2 linked regions of the Astyanax mexicanus genome follow. The protein of the gene in region 2 interacts with the protein of the main gene of each other region in a biochemical or structural test. Links are inferred from orthologs where the notes say so. Each region holds a gene or a part of one and is shown on either strand. Other genes may lie near its edges.

Region 1 (6,999 bases), on a different chromosome or scaffold from region 2:
AGCCACAGATCTGATTTACTTAATAATAAGTCTAAATTCCAAAAAAATGCATGTTTCATTAAGAAACTTTTACTTTACACTCTACAGCCAAAAGCCCCCCGAGTGAATGAGTGCAGTGATGAAGCCACAGCTTCAGAGTGATGAAGTTTCCTGCCAAATCATAAAAAAAAAAAAAAAAAAAAAACTAGATTCCTGAGCCCGGCAATGACAAATTCCCCTTATCCGAATTAAAAGGGATCGAGCTTTGAATGTTAAACTGTTTAAGAAAAAAGGAGGACGTTGTGTCATTTCCTTCCTCGCGCGGCTTCCGTTCACCACGAAGCGGCCGAGGCAAACACAAGCCTCCCACGCGCGGCGCAGGAAGGTGATTCAGGTCAAACACCTGAAGCTCGGCATTCTGGGAGCTCCTGCTTTGATATCAGCATCTCCTCTCCGTGTTTATCCGTCAGTTTCAGCACACTTCCGGGACGCTGCTGCTGCTGCTGCATCAGGGTCTCTGTCTAACCATCTTCCTCTCCTTTCAGAGTCCATATGACGATATGTTGTTATTATTGAAATGAATTACGTCAGTGTACGCTTTCCTGAGCACTGGAGGCATCAACAGGAGGAAATCACAGCATGATTCATAGAAAAACAGATATTTACAATTAGATCCACTGGTGCCATACTGTCAAATTTAAAACTACATAGAGCTTATTGAATTAAATTTTTTCTGTTTTGTTTTTATCTTTCATACCTTTTTTTCTTTTTAATATTTCACTACTGTGTTGATATCATCTGTTTTACGTATATATATATATATATCACATACAGCCTTTTACTATCCAAGCCTATTTGGATGACCATTAAAAAAAAACAAAAACAAAACAAAACAAAACAAAACAAAAAACGTTATGACCCACACTCCCCACACAATATCACAGCCATAAAACAGCAATTCTTTCAAATTAAGAAATCAAAGGAAATAAAACTTCCTGACATGTTTTACTATAGAATTCCTGTTTTTTGTCCCTCAATTATTAGATTTTGCCATGTTTTACACGTTAGGTTGAATCTCACTGTATTTTACATCCTATAAAATGGGTGTCAATGTAGTTCAATGAGTATTTATACTTAAATATGCTTTCATTTTAACACATTTGATAAGCTTCAGACGCTGTTTTACTGAGAATACTCAGTTAAGAGTAACAGGCATTAAGATTTCCAATAACATGGCCTTATAATACAGAAAATTGTGCTTTTTTGGAAGGAAAATGTTTTTAAAAAACAGATTTTTTTAACAATATAAACTTCTCAGAGCCAACGATGGTTCCTGGTTTTTTATCCATAAGTGTCATAATTAAGGAACAACTTGCTTTTTATTTTCTCTATTACTAATCCTTAGGGATTAAAAGTCAGGGAGAATAAGTGTAAAATAAGGAGTTAAATCCATGGAATGCTCAGAAAATTAGTCCTGATATTGTACCTCTATATTATCATTAGAATTATACTCTTTTACACTACAACAAAATGTTTTCAATTTTAACAAAAACACATATTAATCTTTTGTTTAACGCTAAAACTGACTGACTGAGATGCTGCATAAACAATTTATTCAGAGTCTGTTCTAATTTCTCCTTTGTCAGATATATTAAAATCAGGCTGACCTGATCTCCAGACGACAGAACTCAGTTTTTATGGTTATAAATCAAAGAAATGAGCAAGAGGAAAGCAACAGAACAGCTCTTTTTGTTCGGGGAAGAACATGCAAACTTATATACAACAGAAAAACTAACTATATAACAATGCAGACTGTAGAGAAAATATGTTCCGGAGCAGAGCTGAAAGATCTGTGAACTATGGCATCTCTTTCTATAATGATCGCTCATGTGAAGAGGGAAAAATAAAGAGCGCAAAAGGCAGACAGAGAGCAGAGAACAGAAGAAAAAAGAGAAAGAGTATGGGAAATTGTACGAGAGCTATGGAGTTTCTAGCTCAGTTTACAGGGTACAGAATGCAAAAACCATATCTGATGCATCTGGTTGTACTGCATTAAAAGCCTTATACACTTTTCACACCTGAAAACATCATAATTTAGTGTGAAAACTCGTGTCTTTACTGTAAATCCAGCATGCTTATGCCCGAATTCTTCATAACAGCTCTGACGTACATCAAATGGAAAGTGTTGATGCTGATCACAGAGAAATGTCAGGTGTTAATGGAAGTGACGATTAAAGCCACAGGAGCACTGTAGTGATGTCTGTTCTGAAGAGACCCCCAAAGGGGTTAAGGACAAAACATCCTCTAAGCGGAATTATTTCCTCCCTGCAGCACCTGCTTTCCTCATCCGTCATGTCAGTGTTATATACACCACGAGCCATCAGTGCTCATATGAAGGAACTTTCGGCTGGTCTGCTGCCCCTGATTTGATATCCTCTTTAAAAAAAAGTCTTTAGGGGGTTGTAAGTCCTCACAAACACATCTAAAGAGCGTTAAACATGGGAGCACCTTTTTAAAAAATGAGGTTTTAGATCTGGTCCCTTTTACAGCCCTGTTTTACTGACATACAGCTCTTAATTTTACCAAATTAAAAACCTCTGGAATATAATCAAGAGGAAGATGGATGATCGCAAGCCATCAAACCACCAAACTGAACTGCTTGAATTTTTGCGCCAGGAGTAAAGCAGCATAAAGTTATCCAAAAGCAGTGTGTAAGACTGGTGGAGGAGAACATGATGCCAAGATGCATGAAAAAAACTGTGATTAAAAACCAGGGTTATTCCACCAAGTATTACATTTCTGAACTCTTAAAACTTTATGAATATGAACTTGTTTTCTTTGCTTTATTTGAGGTCTGAAAGCTCTGCATCATTTTTTTTGTTATTTCAGCCATTTCTCATTTTCTGTAAATAAATGCTCTAAATGAGAATATTTTTATTTGGAATTTGGGAGAAATGTTGTCTGTAGTTTATAGAATAAAACAACAATGTTCATTTTACTCAAGAATAAACCTAATAATTACTATTATTACCCTGCTGACGACATCCAACCATCTGCATCTCACCCCTACCAGAGGCACACTGCTGCTGCTGCAGCTCAGCCAATCAGCTCTCCCTCCTGCCCCACCCCTAAACCCATACATCATCCAGAGCGCCTTCCAACCTAACCCTCTTATTTTAAGCCTTTTTCAAATTTGAGCTGAGGGTGGAGTCAGCTAAAATCAGGAGGTTTAGATACTCTAAAAAATATGAAGAGAAAACTATTTAGCAATTATTATATAGTTAGTAGACTGAGCGAACAAAAAACTAAAATTGGCCTATATAAACATCCCTTACTGTGCTTAATGTGCAAACATGAAAAAAGGAGAAAAATAAATATTAACGATTTTGAGATGCTTACACAACAGCTGGCAGATGTGACTGCAATAACAGTTATGCGAAATTCAGAGGAATTAAGAGAAAAATATATTTTTAGCTGATGCATTAATAGAGATGGGGAATCTCATTAAGATGACATTAAAAAAAACTTTTATAAATGACTCTTGAATGAAAGCCAGAGGGTTGTCTGCTTTTATAAACACAATGCTTTTTCAGTTCTTTTTTTTTTTTCCTGAAACACGTTTTTAGATATTGCTCTCAAGACAAAAATATGGAAGCATTAGAAACGTTTTCTAAATCTATGATTCTATCTATGATAGTTTCTCACTCCATCACATGTTAAAACAGCCACTGTTGATACTGAAGTTGCTTGAGCAACACAGCTGCATCCTGAGGGGCTTTTTGGAGTAAAAGCCTCGAAGAAAAACACAAATACTGCCATTGTTGTCCTGTCCTCTTCCACCGGCCTGACCCCGAAACCGTTTGGGCTGTTTTTTTTATCTGGAAGCTGAAGGAGCATCCAGCGGGAATTGTTTAATTAGCGCCTCCTGCTCCTGCACCGGCTGAGAAGCTCCTTAGGCTGCTCTGCTCAGTGAAGGGTGTCTGTCGGGTGGTGGGAGGGGCTTCACCCTTACTACCCAGCCACAGGAGCACATCGCCTCAGACAACAGCAGAGTGTGGGAGACCGGTGACTGGGGAGAACACAAGCTGGGAGTGGGGATCTGCCAAGTGACGCTCCGTTACCACACGCTGACATTTGTCTCCACCTCCCGCTTTTGACAGACTTATAAATGAAGCTCACTCACACTGAGGAGGAGAGAATCCTGCCTGGGGAGGTTCATGCAGATGCAGTTCTCGAAGACTCTCAAGACTTGGCAACACACGAGGAGCCTCTGAACTTCTTCTGACACAAGACAACTGGAAGGCAATTCTCTTCATACTTCAGCAATCCAGGGACTTCTCCAAAAAGATAAAGCTAAAAACATTTAGAGGCAAAATGCAGAACGCGGGAATACTCGTCCTCAGCATCGGCTTCATCCTGGCAGACGGGTTCTCAACAGGTAAGAAGCAGTACCAGATCCAGAACGGGGGCTGCAGCTACACCTTCCTGCTTCCCGAGCAAGAGAACTGTCCGCCCAGCAGCTACAGCAACCTGGCGCAAAAAGACGACCCTGCTGATTATGATCAGTCGGTCCAGAGGCTGGAGCAGCTGGAGAGCATCATGGAGAACAACACGCAATGGTTGCAAAAGGTAACGTTTCATTCAATAATGAAGACAGAGACAGATAGAAAGCAGAAAGCTTGTGTATCTTCATTTTTTTACCAATTTTTCCGTTCCTACAAATCAAAGGTTCATAATAAATAGATAGAGAGAGATGCGGCAAATTGACTTAAAATTAAATATTTCTAAAACGACTTTCAGTAAAGGTTAAACTTTTTTTAATGCTTTTTTAAGCATTAATCTGCATTAATAGATGGCTATAACACGTCTTAGAAAAAGATCTTGTGTATATTGTAGTTATCCAGTAAAATCCAAAACTCTGCCAATTTTCTATTTACTACATCATTTTCATTGGATCAGAAGTTTAAAATAAATATACGAAAAAAAAAAGCAGCAAACTGACTTGGACTTAGATCTTTCTAAAGCGACTTACATTAAAAGTTAAACTTTTTTTTTTCCTTTTCATCTTCTAAAGAGTTCTGCGTTCCCAGATTGACTAACACAGGTAACCAGTCTTAAGTGTGTTAGCTTTGAAAAACTTTCTTTTGTTTCAATCAATAGTCACATATGGTCTTAAACCAATATATATTGTATTGTATGTATTTAAAAAAAAAACGCAACTGTTGCATTTTAATGCCAGTACTAAGTTTAAGAAGCCAAAGAAAAAAAAAAATCAATTGTTAATGCTGGACTAATGCCATCACACTTCATTGTGGCTTCTTAATACCAGGAAGGAAGCAAATATATTGCATATGCATATATTTTTATAGAAAAATGACATCAGAAGTACAATCTGTGGAACAGCATTGGGACGATCAGAGCAAGAACCTCAATCTACACACAGTTCTGCATCCTCGGATGGGTTAAATAAGTCTAATATGTGAGCAGAACAGGTGTGTGTAAATTTGGCTGGATTGCTGTTTTTTTTATAGCCTTGATTCCTGTATGCCGCAAACTCTGAACATGGCATACTTTAAAAGTACAAGTAATGCAAATGTAATTAAGTGATACTTCGAATGGTTGCAAATATTTCATTTTATCACCAACATCATGTTACTTATAGCTTGTGCTTGAGATTTAATATATTTAATGTGGATCAATCAAATCTATAAATTGTTGAAATTGTTGGTACATCCAACATAAATCCACATTCAGCGCAGACAGATGTCTTAGATCTACTCTAATTAAGCAATAAAGCATCTCTATAGCTGTGTTGAAACTAATTATTTTATTTGTATGGCATTTTAAAATCAAGTGTTTGACAGAGCATGACTAATATACCCATTGTTAATTTTTTTTTTTAACTTCACATTAAACTAATATAAAGAAAACACATGTTAAAAATACTTGTTTAACATAAAAATACCTTTGTTGATTTACATTTTGATTTCTATAGAAACAGAGCTTCCTACATTACGGTATACTGGGTGTTCAAGCAAGCACAGCAGACTTGTTTTAGCCCACAACAGCCTTGTAAAATATATAAATATATAAATATATATAAAACGTACGAAAAGATTATAAGATGACTGTTGTTTCTGCGTATTGGATGCTCTGAAAATACAGCATCAATCAAGCGCAGCATCATAGACCAAAAATGAGTTTACTGAAAGAATTTTACAGGAAGGCAGATTCTGAAACCATAAAGATGCTTTCTGTGCTTCCAATTGTATGGTTAAATTAGTTAAACCTTACTACTGTTGGGAGTTAATGCTGGTGAAATAAACTGGTCACACACTTCTTCTTATAAAATTATTTCGTTGGACTGCCTTTAAGCCTTGATTGCAGCTTCATGCATTCACTGTGGCATTGTTTCAATAAGCTTCTGCAAAGTTACAAGATTTATTTCAATCCAATGTTTCCGGATTAATTTTTCACCGAGATCTTGCAGCAGCATTGATGATGGTAGAGTCTGACCAACCGCTGCACAAAGTAGCTCTTCTCCATCCAGCACATCCCAAAGATTCTCAGTGAGGTTAAGATCTGGACTCTGTGGTGAACTCTCTCTCAATCCATGTGTAAAAATGATAAATGATGATCTCATGCTCCCTGAACCCTTTGCACTCACTCTTTCACAGTTCCAGCCCCATGAATTCTGGCATTGTTCATCTTGGAATATGAAAAAAATATATATATATCCATTGATAGAAGAATAACCTATTAGTCTATATGAATTAATTATATTCAGGTAGTCAGCTGACCTCATTCTTTCAGCACATACTGTTGCTGAACCTAAACCTGCAGACCAACTGCAGCATCAACCAACCAACACATCATTTACTCACTTAAATACAGGTGGAGACTTTTTTTGTTTTTTGGCCAGGCAGTCTATATGGTTGCAATAGGTCAAAACTGACAAACAGATTTTATCGCATAGCTTCCTCTCTGACAGTAACCGTACCGGCGTATCTGTCCCTGTCG
Region 2 (17,346 bases):
GTAGTTCAGAGATAAGGAACAAATAGTTAGAATCTGTCTATGGAACAACACCAGTAAAGTACAATTGAGATAGGTAGGTTTATGCTTAGAAAAGTTCTGTTTACATTAGTTAAAAGTAAAAATCCACTCTTGGATTTTGCTCCAACTGTCTGCCCGGGGTGGATTTTTACTTTCTGGACCTGGACGGCCCACCTTTGTGTGTTTAAATAGGATTTCCGGTGGATTTGGCGTTTTACAGAGACTCTAAGACTAGGTCAGTGTCTGAACTGCACTTAGCAGGACATTACACATGTTGTAAAGTAATATGTGAAATTGCAAAGACTGTTGTTAGTGTAAAAATGCCTTTATTTTAAAGCGTTTCTAACTGTTGTCTGTCTCACTGGTGTCACATTGCTGTTAGCCAATCAGAGGCAATATGTTTGCATTATACTGGACCACCAGCACACTTTTTCACAAAACCAGCTCACATGACATTCATTCATACTAGAGACCACACCTAAACATTTTAAAATGAATGAAAAAACCCACAGATACACTGTCATAGCAACTCTCACTACAAATCTGTGGTCATATTCTTCCCACACAGATCTGATTAGCTACAATAACACAGTGCAGATTGGTACTGTACCATTACAAACATCAAACTATGAGCAAACCCTGGTTCATCAGGCTGAATGTGTGTTTTTTTGTCAGCAGTCGCAGTGGAAAAATGCCTTTCTGAGCACAAGCATGAATGGATCACTTGCTTTTTTAGGGTTTCATTTCACGGCATTCTGTTTCTGCTTTAAGTCATGGGTTGATTTGCAAATTCACTGTAGAATATGTTCGTTAATTTTAGACTGAAAACCAGGAAAGTACATTCTAAAAAGGTAATGCTGCTTCTGCAAAAGTGAAATGATATATATATATATATATATGCTTGTCACGCAAACCAAATCTTCAGAGCAATGCACCAACATCAATTAGAAAGCTTTCTTTGGACAGTAGAAACAGTTACTCCAACAAAAGAAGGATAAACATAGTTTTAATGGCCTTGAATTCAGAAGAAACAATTAATAAGCATACTGTAAAACCTTTCAAGTTAAATAAACTCAAATGATTTGAGGAAACTGATCGCCTTAAACCATTTAAGTTTGATAACTCAAACGATTTAAGCAAAAAATATTTTTTGAAATGAGTGTGCATAATACACATAATCATTGTTAAATAGAATTGAGTAAATTAAGTGAGTTAAGTACTAATCCCTGTTCACAGTATAATTGTTAGTTTATTTAAGTATTTTGGATTCATGTGCACTGAAAACCCTAGTAAGTTAAGTCTACTCAAATCCTTTTTTAGGTAATTCATAATTAATTAGGTAATTAATTAAGTTTTCAAAACTATTTTTTTAGTTAATTTTAATACTGTGTGGAGTTGAACAAACATTCATTCTCAAAATGATTCATTCACATAAATGAGCTATAAATGAGACCTCAAATAATGCAAAGAAAACAAGTTCATATTCATAAAAATTTAAGAGTTCAGAAATCAATTCAAGCAAATCAAGCTGAGCAAACTCAGTTTTACCAATTAAACGTTATAACTAAAACTAAAACGTTATAATTAAAAGTTATAAGAACTTCCTATCAAACAGTATCAGCTTATTTAATTTGAGAAAACCAATTGCTTTAAATTACTAGTTATACTAACTCAAATCAAACACTTAAAACAAAAACTTTAAATAGCAGCAATAAATGCAAGAAGGCAACACATCATTTTTGATCATTTTTAGTTCAGTAAGAAACGCAGTTAAGTTTTACAGTGCAGGTGTCCCAATACTTCTGGCCATACAATACTCCGTGACCCTCTTGCTGAGATGTTTGGAGTCTATAGGTTATATCCTCAGGTTTCTGCACACATTTAGACTGAAATGTCAGAACCTGGCCTAAAGGCCTAGGTCTATTATAGCTGGCTTACATCCATAGATAGCACACACACACACACACACACACACACACACACACACACACACACACAAAAACACAGGCACATACTGAATCTGGACCATCCCCAAAACACCCCCTAAATCATCCGGCTACACAGAGTGGTGAAGCCGTGGTGGGCTCAGAGGTGCTATCCCGTGTCCCAGCAAAGCAGCAGACCAGCACAGTACATATCTCCTTACAGATTACCTCACTAACTCACACACACACACACACACACACACACATACATATATATATATATATATATATATATATATATATATATATATATATATATATATATAGTCGCTATCCAAAGAAAAACTACACTGTAAACCCACTAGTTGAATTAACTTATAATAACTGAGTTTATTCTGCATTTATTTGGGTGTGACTCCCGTTTTATGACACTCACCATCAGTGTGTAGTCAATCCCCCACCAACCCCCCCACCCCCGGACTAGCTTAGGTAAAGTCGTCAATCATATATTATGATTAACTTCTTGCTCTCTGTGTTGTAGGCTTTAAGAACAAGCATCATTTTCTAAACTGCAGTATCTGTGTGTTGGCTGTATGCTCTATACTGTTCACTCAATAGTTTTTTTTCTTCATCAACTTTTTTTCAACTTCATTTTTATAAGATATCAAAGAGAAGACTAAATACAAATATACACATTTTATTCACCTGACTATCACATTTAAAGTACAGTTATTGTGCAAAGCAATTGATATAATAAAAAAAAATAATATACTATCATATATTTTGTGTTCTGGTTAAGTTGGTGTAAATTATATTAATTATGTAATTATTACTTAAACCAATATAGTATATAGTACTTCAGAAAAATATATATATATATTATATACATATATTCAGGAAACTCTAAATTTAAAATATATATGTATATATATTTGTTAAGTTTACTGTGCTTAAAAATAAAATTACATGATTTTTTTTTTTAAATCGGTTACAGCAAAACTTTTCAGTAGAACAAAAAAAAAACTCTTTAACTTTCAATGGAAGTCAATGCAAAAAGAATTGATTCCAAGACTTTTTGGAGCATTTCTATTGGTCCATTTATCATGACATTTTGAAACAAAGCGAAGGACCACTAATGTATTTAAATAATGTATTAAACAACAACGATCTGCCTTTAGCTCATTTCTAGCATCCTCACACATCTGGTTCTGTTACAGCAGCTCGTCTCTGGAAGCATAAAGGGTTTCTTATCAGAGAGAAGCACAAAAGAAAGAATTTAACCCTTTGACCTTATCTGCTCACAACACACAGAAACAAGTGTTCTACTGAAGTGATGTGATTTCTTCAAATGGTTAAAAAGGTTCGCATATGACTATTCAAATTTACAGAATATAATAAAATAATCTTAATAACTTGGGAAGGTCAATACAAAACAATTCAGTCCAAGTAATTTTGAAGCATTTCTATTGGTTCATTCAATTTTTTTTTTTTACAATATTATGACATAAAGAATTGCTAGATTCACATTATGTCAAAAAATTAAACAACAAAAATGAAGATACTAGGGTTTTGCAGGATTCCGGCAATACCTCACAAATGCTTAAACTTTAGTCACCATGCTTGGTTACAACAATAAAGAAAGCATAGAGCTGTATATTCAATCAATATTGAGTAATTAAGACAAGACACGACAAGACAAGACAATCATATGCACCATACTTTGAAATTTGGCCTCTGCCTTTAACCCGTTACACACTAGAGAGAACACTTAGAAGACAAACTCCCAACAGTGGTGGCCTGTCCCACACTCAAGAAGTATCAATATAAATTACTCAATATTTAGAATAAATGATTCAGTACATACTACTTCAAATTATTCAGCATGTACTACACAGCTCTGAAAAAATTAAGACACCACTTCAGTTTCTGAATCCGTTTCTCTGATTTTGCTATTTATAGGTTTATGTTTGAGTAAAATGAACATTGTTGTTTTATTCTATAATCTACAGACATTTCTCCCAAATTCCAAATAAAAAATATTGTCATTTAGAGCATTTATTTACAGCAAATGAGAAATGACTGAAATAAAAAAAAAGATGCAGAGCTTTCAGACCTCAAATAATGCAAAAAAAACAAGTTCATATTCATGAAGTTTTAAGAGTTCAGAAATCAATATTTGGTGGAATAACTCTGTTTTTTACGCATGACAGTTTTCATGCATCGTGGCATCTTCTCCTCCACCAGTCTTGCACACTGCTTTTGGGTAACTTTATGCCTTTACTCCTGGTGCAAAAATTCAAGCAGTGCAGTTTGGTTTGATGGCTTGTGATTATCCATCTTCCTCTTAATTATATTCCAGAGGTTTTTCAACTTGGTTAAATTAAAGAAACTCACCATTTTAAGTGGTGTAGAGCTGTACATTATACAATATTTACTGTACATTTTATGATGTAATTTTTTTCAGTACCTACTACAAATTATTCAGCTTTTACTAACATTCCAGTAATGTTAACTGTAACATTTTGAAAACGTTCAACAAACCAAATATTGATATCATGTCCAAACTTGTTGGCCAGCATGACCAGTCTCGCCACACTATTCCACCATTTGTGGACCATCATGACCAAGCAGCTTCACCAGAATGACCAGCATGAACAAGCTAGTCGACCAATAAGACCAAGCTTATATATAGATGTTTAATTGACGTTCCCAGCTAGGCAGATAACTTTATGAAAAACGTTAAAAGTAACATTCCCAAAACTTAAACAAGTGACATGGCAGTGACGTTACCAGTACATTTAAAAACGTTTTAAGACCATCCAAAAAAACTGAAATTGAATGGTCTAAGAACATTAACTGTAACATTCAGAAAATGTTCTACTAAACAAATATTATCATAACCAAGCAGCTTGACCAGCATGACCACCGTGACCAAGGTAGCCAACCAATATGACCAAGCTTCCCAGCCAACAGGGAACATTATAAGAACGTTTAGCAACATTTTAAAAATGTTTCAGGAAGGTACTGAAAATGTGACATAATAATGGTCTGAATTACATTCTTATTAGAATGTTTCTTACATAATGTTCCCAGCTAGATGGATAATAACGTTATGAAAATGTTAAAAGTAACATTCCCAAAACTAAAACAAGTGACACTGCCACAACAGTATCAGAACATTTAAACACGTTTTAAGACCATCCAAAAAAAACTGAAATTGAATAACCTAAGACCATTAACTGTAACATTCAGAAAACATTCAACTAAACAAATATTATCTAATCAACGGGTTGACCAGCAAAACCAGCATGACCAAGATAATAAACCATTATAACCAAGCATCTCACCTAACAGGGAACATTATAAGAATGTTCAGCAACATTTTGAAAATGTTTCAGGAAGGTACTGAAAAATTTTACCCAATAATTGTCTGAATTACAACATTATTAGAATGTTTCTTAAAATATTTCCCACCTAGAAGGATAATAACGTTATGAAAATGTTGAAAGTAACATTCCCCAAACTAAAACAAGTGACACTGCAACAACAGTATCAGAACATTTATAAATGTTTTAAGACCATCCAATGAACTTGAGATTGAATGTTCTAAGAACATTAACTGAAAACATTCAACTAAACAAATATTATCATAACCAAGCAGGTTGACCAGCATGACCAAGACAGCTAACCAATATGACCAAGCATCTCACCTAACAGGGAACATTATAATAACGTTTAGCAACATTTTGAAAATGTTTCAGGAAGGTACTAAAAATGTGACATAATAATGGTTCCCAAAACTAAAACAAATCACACTGCAACAACAGTATCAGAACATTTATAAATGTTTTAAGACCATCCAAAAAAAACTTGAAATTGAATGTTCTAAGAACATTAACTGTAACATTCAGAAAACATTCAACTAAACAAATATTATCATAACCAAACAGGTTGATCAGCATGACCAGCTTGACCAAGGTAGCCAACCAATATGACCAAGCATCTCACCATACAGGAAACATTATAAGAACGTTTAGCAACATTTTGAAAATGTTTGAGGAAGATACTAAAAATGAGACATAATAATGGTTTGCATCACAGCATTATTAGAATGTTTCTTACATAATGTTCCCAGCTAGATGGATAATAACGTTATGAAAATTAGCTATGTTACACTGATGTTGTAGCAATGTTACCAAAATGATTAAGCATGATTAAGCCAGCATGCCTCTCAGCATGATTAATCATGGGTGTGTTTTTGGGCGTAACGTGAAATAAACCAATCAGTATGTCACTTGCCATTCCCTTTAAAACTCTTAAAACCCCAAGTGATGCAAATTGTTTCAAAAATCGTGAATTGTTTTTACAGCTTAATTACTCAGGAATGCAACAACTGACCAAAACAGAGAAAAACACACAGAAATAGACTTTAAGAGGCAGGTGAGCTCTGACTAACACTCACTAAACTGTTTTCTCATTCCTTCTCACCTGAGTGCTGATCACATTCACCTGTTCTCAATTATATCTGTTTATATAATTACTTGTTCATTGGTTGAGCAGAATGAAGCTTCACCACACTTTTCCACCATCTACTGACCATCATGACCAAGCAGGTAGACCAGCCAGAACAACAGCCTGACACTGCAGACAGTAGTTAAACTCCTATAGTAGTTTAACAGTAGTTTAAGGGTAAATCACTGACCTGTGAGGAGATAGCTGAGCAGACAGAGCGTGACGGAGCCGGAGGGGTGAGGCGTGTACCCCCGGCGGCGGGACAGGGGGCCACCGGGGGCGCGGGACACGGGGCAGCACGTCCACATCCAGAGCAGAGCTTCAGAGCTCAGAGAGCCCAGAGAAACAGAGTCAGAAACAAACCTCTGAAAACATCCCTCCTCCCTGAGTGAAGAGCTGGAACTCTCTCTCTCGCTTTCTCTCTCTCTCTTTCTCTCTCGACCCTCCACACCCCCTTTCACCCTCTCAGCTCTGCTCTGTCCAGGCACTGGGAGTAGAAGTTCCTTTTTCCTGTTTCCTCTCTCTCCCTGTCTCTCTCTCTCTTTCTGTCTCTATCCCTCTCTCTCTCTCTCTCTCTCTCCCTCTCTGAACAATTGCTTGTCATTAACAGCAGCTCCTGCCCCAGCCCTGAGGGGAGTGGTGCCCACCCTGACCTTACCGTAGACTTCTCACGAGGGAGGAGGGAAAACTGAGAGAGAGAGAGAGAGAGAGAGAGAGAAAGTGAATATGGTAACACTTTAATTTGATGGTCCACCTTACATGCTTTCTAGATGGTTACCTTCTGTACTTCCTAAGCTTTCCATCATGGACACTTCAAATTTACGTACTGTTTTAAAAATAAAACTAAATAAAATAAGTTTGTTTCACTCCTTAAATCCTACACTTTTTGAAAGTTAGACATTGGAATGGAATGAGCTAACAACAGCGCACCGTAAAGCTTGATTTAGGTTGTTTTAGTGTGTCTTTGCTATCGTAACGACGGTAAAAGTACACCGCTCATTGAGGCCCTACCATGAGAGGCAACACCCTGTATTACTACTAGGACTAACTGACTGTTGTATGCGATGACTCCTCAGATCATCACACCAGCAGTTGGGGCAATATGTTGCTCTACAGCTAACACAGCAGGACTGAAGCGCTCATCACAAGGCGTCCACACCCAAACCCAACCACATTTGAATCCCAAACTTTATCTTGATTTGTCCTGAGACAATACTGTTCCAGTCTACAGCAGTCCAGGCTTCTCTTTCACAACACTACTGCAAATGACTGCAATGATGTCTGGATGATAGAAGACCTAGGTGGTGAAAAAATTCATCAAAACTACCATACCGCCTTTTTTAGTCCAATGATGTGCCCCCTGTCAAAGTCTGTTGACTGAGCAAAATGAATTAGTGGTCTACAATCTCTCACCAAGAAGTACACTATACAGTACACAACTAGGGCCCTATTATAGTCATCTATAGTGCACTGGGCAATTGCGGATCACACAGCTGGATTTAGGGAGTGTCTGTGTGTCTTTTGTATCGTGAGGGTGCAAAAAAATTACCAAACACGGTTCGAAACACGCAAAAGGCATGTACTAATTCTATTTAAATTAATAATGGGTCTGTATTTGGGCATAACGTGAAATAAACCAATCAGTGTGTCACCTGCCATTAACCTTTAAAACTCTTACAACCCCAAGTGATGCAAACTGCATCAAAAATCATGCATACAGTCGTTTATACAGCTTAATTACTCAGGAATGCGCCAACTGACAAAAACAGAGAAAAACACACCGAAATAGACTTTAAGAGCCAGGTGAGCTCTGACTTTGGAACGATCGTTTTGGAGTAGCAATCTACAGGTTGATCAGATTTTAAAATAATTAGAAGAAGGGAAGTCATACACACTCCTGCTATCCCAATACATTTTGAGATTTGAAAAAGTGAGTGCTAACACTCACTGAATTGTTTTCTCATTCCTTTTCACCTGAGTACTGATCACATTCACCTGTTCTCAATTCCATCTGTTTGTATAATTACGTGTTCAATTTATTTGTATGTATATATATCCTTGTCTTTGCGAAGTATTGCCAACCTATTTTTTTGCATACTGACTATACTTTAATTCTTTTTTAGCTGCATCTGTGTTTGATATGCTCTGTCCTTTGGTTTTTAAAGTGATAGTATAAATGGGGATTTTGACAGATGGAAGCAAATGAAACCAATGATTCTGAAAAAAAAAAAGATTCAATCTTGGGAAATGTTTGCCTCATCGTTGCCTCATGTTTTCATGATTGTGATATAAAACATCCCTCCCATAAGCTTCTGTTGCCCTGAGAGTGAATCACTAGCTCTTATTATTTTAAGCTATGTAATGGTTTAAATAAGTCATCATTTACTGATATATAAAGTCAAAAGCAGCACTGGGTTATGTTAAGATCTGGCTTTAACCTTTGTCTCCACTACGCCGTGTTCCCCAATGTTCCCCAGGAGTCAGAATCTGATGGACGTTTTATACTGAGCAGAATTACAGACGTATCCACATACCCAGATAAGCCAGCTCACACCATCACATGCTCAGTGTAAATGTCCAGCTTTTTAGTGAATAACTCAAATGAATGTGAAGTTATGGCAGTATGGGGGAAGCAGGAGCAAACCCAGCTGTGTGTGAGTGTGTCAACAGGCAAAACTGCTACTAGTCTCTTGAGTGAGATGGAGGAGAGAGTGGAGCTCAGCCTGGAAAGGCAGACACATTAGATGTAAAATTCAGTTTAAGTTAAAATATTATTATAATGTTATAATGTTTTAAAATCAAGTCCGCTCTGCTAAAGTTTCAGCCTCACATTTCTAAAAGACATTAAACTGTGTGCTGACTCGGTCTTTAACCGGCTCTTCTACTGTGATTATTCTATAGTCCAAAGATCAAAAGCTCAACTTCTGATTCCCACTGTTCACCATCAGCAGCTGGAGAGCACAGTTGGAACAGAACATTTTACAGGAATATAATAAACTTCTATCCAGACAATGTTCGTTTCCCAGTTCCTTCTCACATGAGTTCTGATCACATTCACCTGTTCTCAATTATATCTGTTTATATAATTAAGATGACTTGGAAAAGGCCTCTCACTCTTTCTTCCTCTCTACTTCTCTCTCTCTTTCTCTTCACTTCTTTCTTCTCTCTCTACTTTTCTCTCTTTCTTTCTCTCTACTTCTTTCTTTATATCTACTTATCACTCTTTTTCTTTCTCTGCATCTCTTTATTTCTCTCTCTCTCTACTTCTTACTCTACTTTTCTCTCTTTCTTTCTCTCTACTTTTTTTATCTACTTATCGCTTTTTTCTTTCTCTGCATCTCTATGTCTCTCTCTCTACTTCTTACTCTCTCTATTTTTCTCTCTTTCTTTCTCTCTACTTCTTTCTTTATATCTACTTATCACTCTTTTTCTTTCTCTGCATCTCTTTATTTCTCTCTCTCTCTACTTCTTACTCTCTCTACTTTTCTTTCTTTCTTTCTCTCTACTTCTTTCTTTCTATCTACTTATCGCTCTTTTTCTTTCTCAGCATCTCCATGTCTCTCTCTCTACTTTTCTCTTTCTTTCTCTCTACTTCTTTCTTTCTATCTACTTATCGCTCTTTTTCTTTCTCTGCATCTCTATTTCTCTCTCTCTACTTCTTTCTCTCTCTACTTTTCTCTCTTTCTTTCTCTCTACTTCTTTCTTTCTATCTACTTATCGCTCTTTTTCTTTCTCAGCATCTCTATGTCTCTCTCTCTACTTCTTTCTCTCTCTACTTTTCTCTTTCTTTCTCTCTACTTCTTTCTCTACTTTTTTATCTACTTATCGCTCTTTTTCTTTCTCTGCATCTCTATTTCTCTCTCTACTTCTTACTCTACTTTTCTTTCTTTCTCTCTACTTTTTTCTTTCTATCTACTTATCGCTCTTTTTCTTTCTCTGCATCTCTATTTCTCTCTCTCTACTTCTTACTCTCTCTACTTTTCTTTCTTTCTTTCTCTCTTCTTCTTTCTTTCTATCTACTTATCACTCTTTTTCTCTTTCTACATCTCTGTATTTCTCTCTACATCTCTTTGTTTATTTCTCTCTACTAACTCTCTTTATTTTTCTCTTTTTCTTCTTTTCTTTCTTTCTTTCTCTCTACTTTTTTATCTACTTATCGCTCTTTTTCTTTCTCAGCATCTCCATGTCTCTCTCTCTACTTCTTTCTCTCTCTACTTTTCTCTTTCTTTCTCTCTACTTCTTTCTTTCTATCTACTTATCGCTCTTTTTCTTTCTCTGCATCTCTATTTCTCTCTCTCTACTTCTTACTCTCTCTACTTTTCTTTCTTTCTTTCTCTCTACTTCTTTCTTTCTATCTACTTATCGCTCTTTTTCTTTCTCTGCATCTCTATGTTTCTCTCTCTACTTCTTACTCTCTCTACTTTTCTTTCTTTCTCTCTTCTTCTTTCTTTCTATCTACTTATCGCTCTTTTTCTCTTTCTACATCTCTGTATTTCTCTCTACATCTCTTTGTTTATTTCTCTCTACTAACTCTCTTTATTTTTCTCTTTTTCTTCTTTTCTTTCTTTCTTTCTCTCTACTTTTTTATCTACTTATCGCTCTTTTTCTTTCTCAGCATCTCCATGTCTCTCTCTCTACTTTTCTCTTTCTTTCTCTCTACTTCTTTCTTTCTATCTACTTATCGCTCTTTTTCTTTCTCTGCATCTCTATGTCTCTCTCTCTACTTCTTACTCTCTCTACTTTTCTCTCTTTCTTTCTATCTACTTATCGCTCTTTTTCTCTTTCTACATCTCTGTATTTCTCTCTACATCTCTTTGTTTATTTCTCTCTACTAACTCTCTTTATTTTTCTCTTTTTCTTTCTCTCTACTTCTTTCATTCTATCTACTTATCGCTCTTTTTTTCTCTGTATCTCTATTTCTCTCTACATCTCTTTATTTCTTTCTCTTTACTTCTTACTCTTTCTGTTTTTCTTTCTTTCTCTCTATTTGTCTCTCTTCTTTCTTTCACATCTCACTCTTTCTTGCTCTACTTTTTTCTCTTTCTCTCTACTTATTTCTCTCTCTATTTATTGATCTTTGTTTCTCTCTACATCTCTTTCTCTCTACAATGACAACTGGTGGTGCATTCTGTTTTTTATTTTACACAGTGTCTCATCTTTTTTGGAACTAGGGTTGAACATTCTGGTGTCTAGTTTGGGCTGAGAGAAATCTCATTGTACACTGTTTAAAGAGCCACTAAACCCTGAACCATATTTTTTAATTTATAGCTGAAATTTAAGTTTATTTGAAGTAATGAAACAAACCAGTCCTGCTTATTTTTTATAAACATTTCCTAACCTTTAAAAAACATTTATTTATTGTGGGAATTTCCGCCTCTGCAGTGTCCTCTCAGGTTCAAATGTGCTACAGGAGAGGATGATGAGTCCATATACTATGGTACACAGACAAATCACAATACGCAAATCAGTTAATCAATAATACCCAAACACCCCACTGCTGACATCCAACCATCTGTGTCTCACCGCTATCAGAGGCCCACTGCTGCTGATACAGGTCAGCCAATCAGCTCTTTCCCTCCTGCCCCACCTCTAAACCCATACATCACCCAGTGCCCCATTTTTTTTTTTTTTTTTGCCTTTTAAAAATTCAATGCGTTTTCTTTATTTTCATGACTATTTACATTGTAGATTCTCACTGAAGGCATCAAAACTATGAATGAACACATGTGGTGTTTTATGTACACAAAAAAGGTGAAATAACTGAAAACACGTTTTATATTCTAGTTTCTTCAACATAGCCAACCTTTGCTCTGATTACTGCTTTGCACACTCTCGGCATCATTCTCTCAATGTGCTTCTCAAAGAGGTGGTCACCTGAAATGGTGACTGTTTTCCGACAGTCTTGAAGGAAGGAGTTCCCAGAGGTGTTTATTAGCACATGTTGCCCCTTTACCTTCTTCACTCTGTGCTCCAGCTCACCCCAAACCATTTGGAGCCATCTGAGGGTGGAGTCAGTTAAAATCAGGGGGTTTAGTTACTCTTTAAGAAATTCTGGAACAAAACAGATTCTGAGCAGTGATTCTGAACTTGTGAAGCAAAGGCAGTGTGTGTTTTGGTGAGGAAGTGAGTGGATTTGCAGTGTAAGTAGGGCAGCTAGAGAACAGTGAGAAACATGGTGTGTATTTACAATAATGATCAGCCCGGCTTCTCTCAGCGCCGCTAGGAAAAATATTCTCATGGACCTTTGGCTCCTGAGAGGAACAGGTTTAAGGAACTGCTGTTTGGACAGAGCTCTGTGTTTCTTCCTCTGTGTGTGTGTGTGTGTGTGTGGGACAGAGAGTGAGAGAAAAAGAGAAAGCATGTGACAGGGAGAGGGAGGATAGAGAGAAAGAGAGAGAGAGAGAGAGACGTATGAGGATGCTGAAGTTATTACAGCAGCTGTGGAAACAGTGACACTCATTCACAGCATTAAAACACTGCCCTCTGCGTTTCTTACGGGCGGACCTCAACATCACTCACATAACAACACTGAACACTGATCTGAATTTGAATGAGATTATTATAAAGGGGATATATAATGCAAAACTCATTTTTTGTGTGCTTTTGTATTTCTACTTGCACCTATAAACACTCCAAACACAGAAATTAAATTCCATCCATCCGTTTTCTGTGAATCAGCTGAAAGAGTTTGGTGTCAGAAATCATTTGCTTCTATAAGCCGTTTGGATGCTTCCCCTACTGTGACATCAAAATAATGAAAATCTGCATAGAACCACCCTGGCACCACCCTTTGCCAGAGCCCCACCCACTAGATCAGTTGAAAAAACACCATTTCGGCCTCAGACTTCTTCTGAGGGAGGGATCTGTACCTATTTTCCTTGGCAAGTCAGCAGATAAGGAAGATGTAAGTACATTCAAACAATGGGTTTTGTGCTTCTATCGAATTAAGCATGATCCAGCTTGTTCCTGTTTTACCGTTTAGCACAAGCTAACACTAACATGTGCTAAACACTCAGCGTAAACATGGAGTGTGGCCTGCAACAGCTTTGCAAGAACTTTGCATAAAGGTTACAGAGCCCTTAAACGGTTCATTTTGAAAGGGACTGAAACAGGTAAGAATAGAGCTTGTACGATTTTTTTTTTATGCGAGTGTGATTTTGTGCAAAGAACTTCATGAACATGTTTTGTATAGCTTATAGACCTCTTCTATGGTGATCATAGGTGCAATAGTGATAGGGTGCATTTATAGAGGTACAATAATAATTGGTAATAGTTTTTGTATGGTGCATATATTTATGTTTACTATATCATAGGTATAGGTATTTTTTATTGTATTTTTAAAATTGATCTTATTTTTATTATTTATTGTGTTTATTTTTTTTACCTAAATGGGTGCTACTGTAACAACACCAATTTCCCTCTGGAATTAATTAAGTATTTTGATTCTGATAACTTGTGTAAAAAGAGGTTTAATATGCCCCCTTTAAAACAAAAAGTGACTACATTTGAACAAACATAACAATACACTTCAATTTGAGCTAATTTGGCTATACAGGAACACGTAGGATTTTGTTTTTTACTTTAGATTATTTTAAGCACTACATTTATCTAGCTGTCTGTATATACGCTACACTAGGTTGACATGCCAAATATCATGGGACAGGAGCTAGTACTGTGCCCTATGACATTTGCCGTGTCCCATGAAGGCTAAAGAACCGTGCACTGATCTGTGGGAAATCTGTGTGGGGTGTGTTGACTCACATTAGATAACACCTCACAACCTATACAGGTGTAGGGATTTCCAAGCTGCAGCATGTAGAAGCTGGTTTAGGAGCAGAGAACACAGAGTACAGGGGTGATAGTGTATACACATGGAGCGGAGGACCTGGAATAGAACAGAAAAGGATGATAAAGTGAATAAGGAGCTCCTCTGACCGGCTGGAGGGTCAAGGCCCTCTCTGTGGCTGTTCTGGGGGCAGCAGTAATTCAGTCAGCAGCTCACAGAGCAGCAGGGTGGAGTTCCTCTAACTCCTCCAACTCCAGCACTAACACACACACACACACCCAGCGCAGGCTTCCAGCCAGCAGCAGAGCTACTAAAGGGGGCATGCCTGGATCTTCAATAAAGAGGACCTCGCAGATTCACAGTTAGTAAAAGCGGGGGGCAGCTAAAACAGGAAAGGATGTGAGTGTGTGTGAGAGAGAGAAAACGAGAGAGAGAGAGAGAGAGAGAGAGAGAGGGAATGACAGAATGGTGATGTATTGCACATATAGTAAGGAGAATCATACTTTGAATCATACTTTATTTTTTAACACACTTTATATATATATATATATATATATATATATATATATATATATATATATATATTCCTTTGAACTCATAAATATATATATATATATCATTGAAAACCTCTGGAATATAATCAAGAGTAGGATGAAACCAAACTGAACTGCTTGAATTTTTGCACAAGGAGTGCATGGCATAAAGTTATCCAAAAGCAGTGTGTAAGACTGGTGGAGGAGAACATGATGCCAAGATGCATGAAAACTGTGATTAAAAAACAGGGTTATTCCACCAAATATTGATTTCTGAACTCTTAAAACTTTATGAATATGAACTTGTTTTCTTTGCATTATTTGTTGTTGTTATTTCAGCAATTTCTCATTTTTTGCAAATAAATGCTCTAAATGAGAATATTTTTATTTAGAATATGGAGGAAATAAAAAAAAAATATATATATATATATATATATATAGGACCACAAGAGAGCAGAGAAGTTGTTCTTATTTGGGTGGTGGGTCATATTATTATTCTCAGCACTGCAGTGATTAGCACTGATTAGTTGATCAGATGCAGCAGTGCTGCTGGAGTTTTTAAACACCTCAATGTTCAAAAGTGCTCGACTGTGAATGGTCCAACAACAGCATCTTATGGACATTCTTATGTGTCCTGTGGCCACTGATGAAGGACTACAGGACAACCAGCACAAACTGTGCAACAACAGATTCAGAGCTTCCGTCTAATAGCGTGAGGGACAGTGATTGGGCACAGTTAACAGTAAATGTGCTGCAGGATGCCATATAGAACCTGTGTACCTCCATACCCCACCGTATCTCATCTTGTTTCCAGGCTAGAGGCACAACAGTAGATACTAGAGCCTCCTTTCAATTACAGTACAGTTTTTCCCAATTAAACACTATTATTCTTTTATTCTAATATTGTAATCATTTACTTACTATATCAATTCCATTTCATTTCAACAACTCCTTCTTGGAGGATTATTCTTGTGTAAATGAGAGCATGAGTTGGAGAGTTGGGGATGAGGTTGGCTGGTGATCATTCAACATCCTGACCTCACTAATGCTTACTGAACTCAATCACGAGTCTCACACTGCCAATCACAACCTCTACCATTTTTACAAACCAGAAAACTCACTGGGCCCAATTAGAGCGAGCTCCGGTCTTCGGCCAGCTCCAGAAGGAGTGTGTTAACTGTGTGCCTCGACCCCTTGAAGAACAAATCCCCTCCCCCTCTCCGAAAGTCTCTCAAATCTTGTTACTTTAATAAATACGCTGCGTTTATTATTTCTAGCCTTTCTCAGGGTTAGCGAGAGTCACGGCCCCTTTAGCGAGAGCGCTGTGACGGAAAGGCTAAACATAGGCTTACACCACAGAGTGATAGATGGAGAGCTTTTGGAGATGAAGGGTCACTGCTGGGTGTTTTTCCATAAGGGATTTGCCTCCAGCATGGAGGGGAAAGTAGAGCGTTGGGTAAGAGTTTAAAAACCTCTTCACAGCAGTCGGTCTCTTACAGCGCAAATCCCAACGGACACTGTTTGGTCATAGACCCCACCACTTGAATTATGTGCTCTCGCTTACTGTTTTCTATTCATTCTAAATGTACTTTTAGTAGCTCTTGCAAACCAAATGTGCACACTAGTCACAAGCCTCTTTATCAAATACATGACCTGCCAAATGTTAGACTTAAAAAAAAAAGAAAATGTTGACCACAATATTGGAAAACTTTTAACAATCAACTATAAGACATAGGCTAATACATTTCAAAATACAGTAATGAAAACCCACTTAAGACCTAATTACACTGACATATTGATCTCAAGCAACTTTTATCACAAGGGGACTGGACGTTTGCACATGATCTGCCAAGATTCCTTAATACCTAATACTGGACAGCATGATTCAAAAGTCACATTTTTTTTACTAAAACTGCAGGTTTACAAAGGAAAAATCTGTTGAAAAGGGACTCCATTGTTAATATTTAGACTAAACTAAAATTCAGCATAAACTTTAAACTCACAGAACTCAACTTAGACACCCCTCAAAGCCCAGAGCCTATAGAATCCACCTGGAAAAAAATGGAAAACCTCTGGATAGGGGTGTGACGAGATCTCGTGGCACGAGATCTCGCAAGATTAAAACGGACGATATTTCTCGTCAGGCTTAAACCTGTCTCGCGGGGCAAAGAAACTGTTAAGTGTGGACTTTTTAAGAGGGATTTGGCAACCCAGTAGCGATAGCGATAGAATATGATGGCTGAGCAGTGAGAGCAGCTCTCAGCAGAAGAGGAAAATTTGGGTATTTGCATAGAAGCTGCTTCTGCTACTTTTAAGTTGTATGTCTGGCTGCATTTTGGCTCCAGTGGAAACAATAAACGGTAACAGAGTGACCAACAAGACACAAACCATATATAAATACTGTAAGTAAATCCTACACGTGACTGTTTCATAGGCAGCTGTACTAATCCCTTAGCTCTTTACTGTATTTAAAAACATGTTCTGTCTCTGTTTGCACTTCAAGCAAAGTCTTAATATGACTGGTTATGGTTCTGCATAGTTAAATTACAAGAGATTTAGGAGAAAAAAACAC

Evidence for each region.
Region 1: the proteins of tek (region 2) and angpt2a form a complex in vitro, tested with the Homo sapiens proteins (7 studies listed by BioGRID and IntAct, with this or other methods). The link is inferred for Astyanax mexicanus from reciprocal best matches to the Homo sapiens genes TEK and ANGPT2.

Annotation. Positions count from the first base shown.
Region 1 is NC_064414.1:2,731,754-2,738,752, forward strand, and holds the start of angpt2a (angiopoietin-2a), read left to right. Parts: upstream 1-3,999; 5' UTR 4,000-4,353; coding exon 4,354-4,608; intron 4,609-6,999. UniProt on the Homo sapiens protein: Binds to TEK/TIE2, competing for the ANGPT1 binding site, and modulating ANGPT1 signaling. Can induce tyrosine phosphorylation of TEK/TIE2 in the absence of ANGPT1.
Region 2 is NC_064408.1:10,132,272-10,149,617, forward strand, and holds the start of tek (tyrosine-protein kinase receptor Tie-2), read right to left. Parts: upstream 7,029-17,346; 5' UTR 6,764-7,028; coding exon 6,646-6,763; intron 1-6,645. UniProt on the Homo sapiens protein: Tyrosine-protein kinase that acts as a cell-surface receptor for ANGPT1, ANGPT2 and ANGPT4 and regulates angiogenesis, endothelial cell survival, proliferation, migration, adhesion and cell spreading, reorganization of the actin cytoskeleton, but also maintenance of vascular quiescence.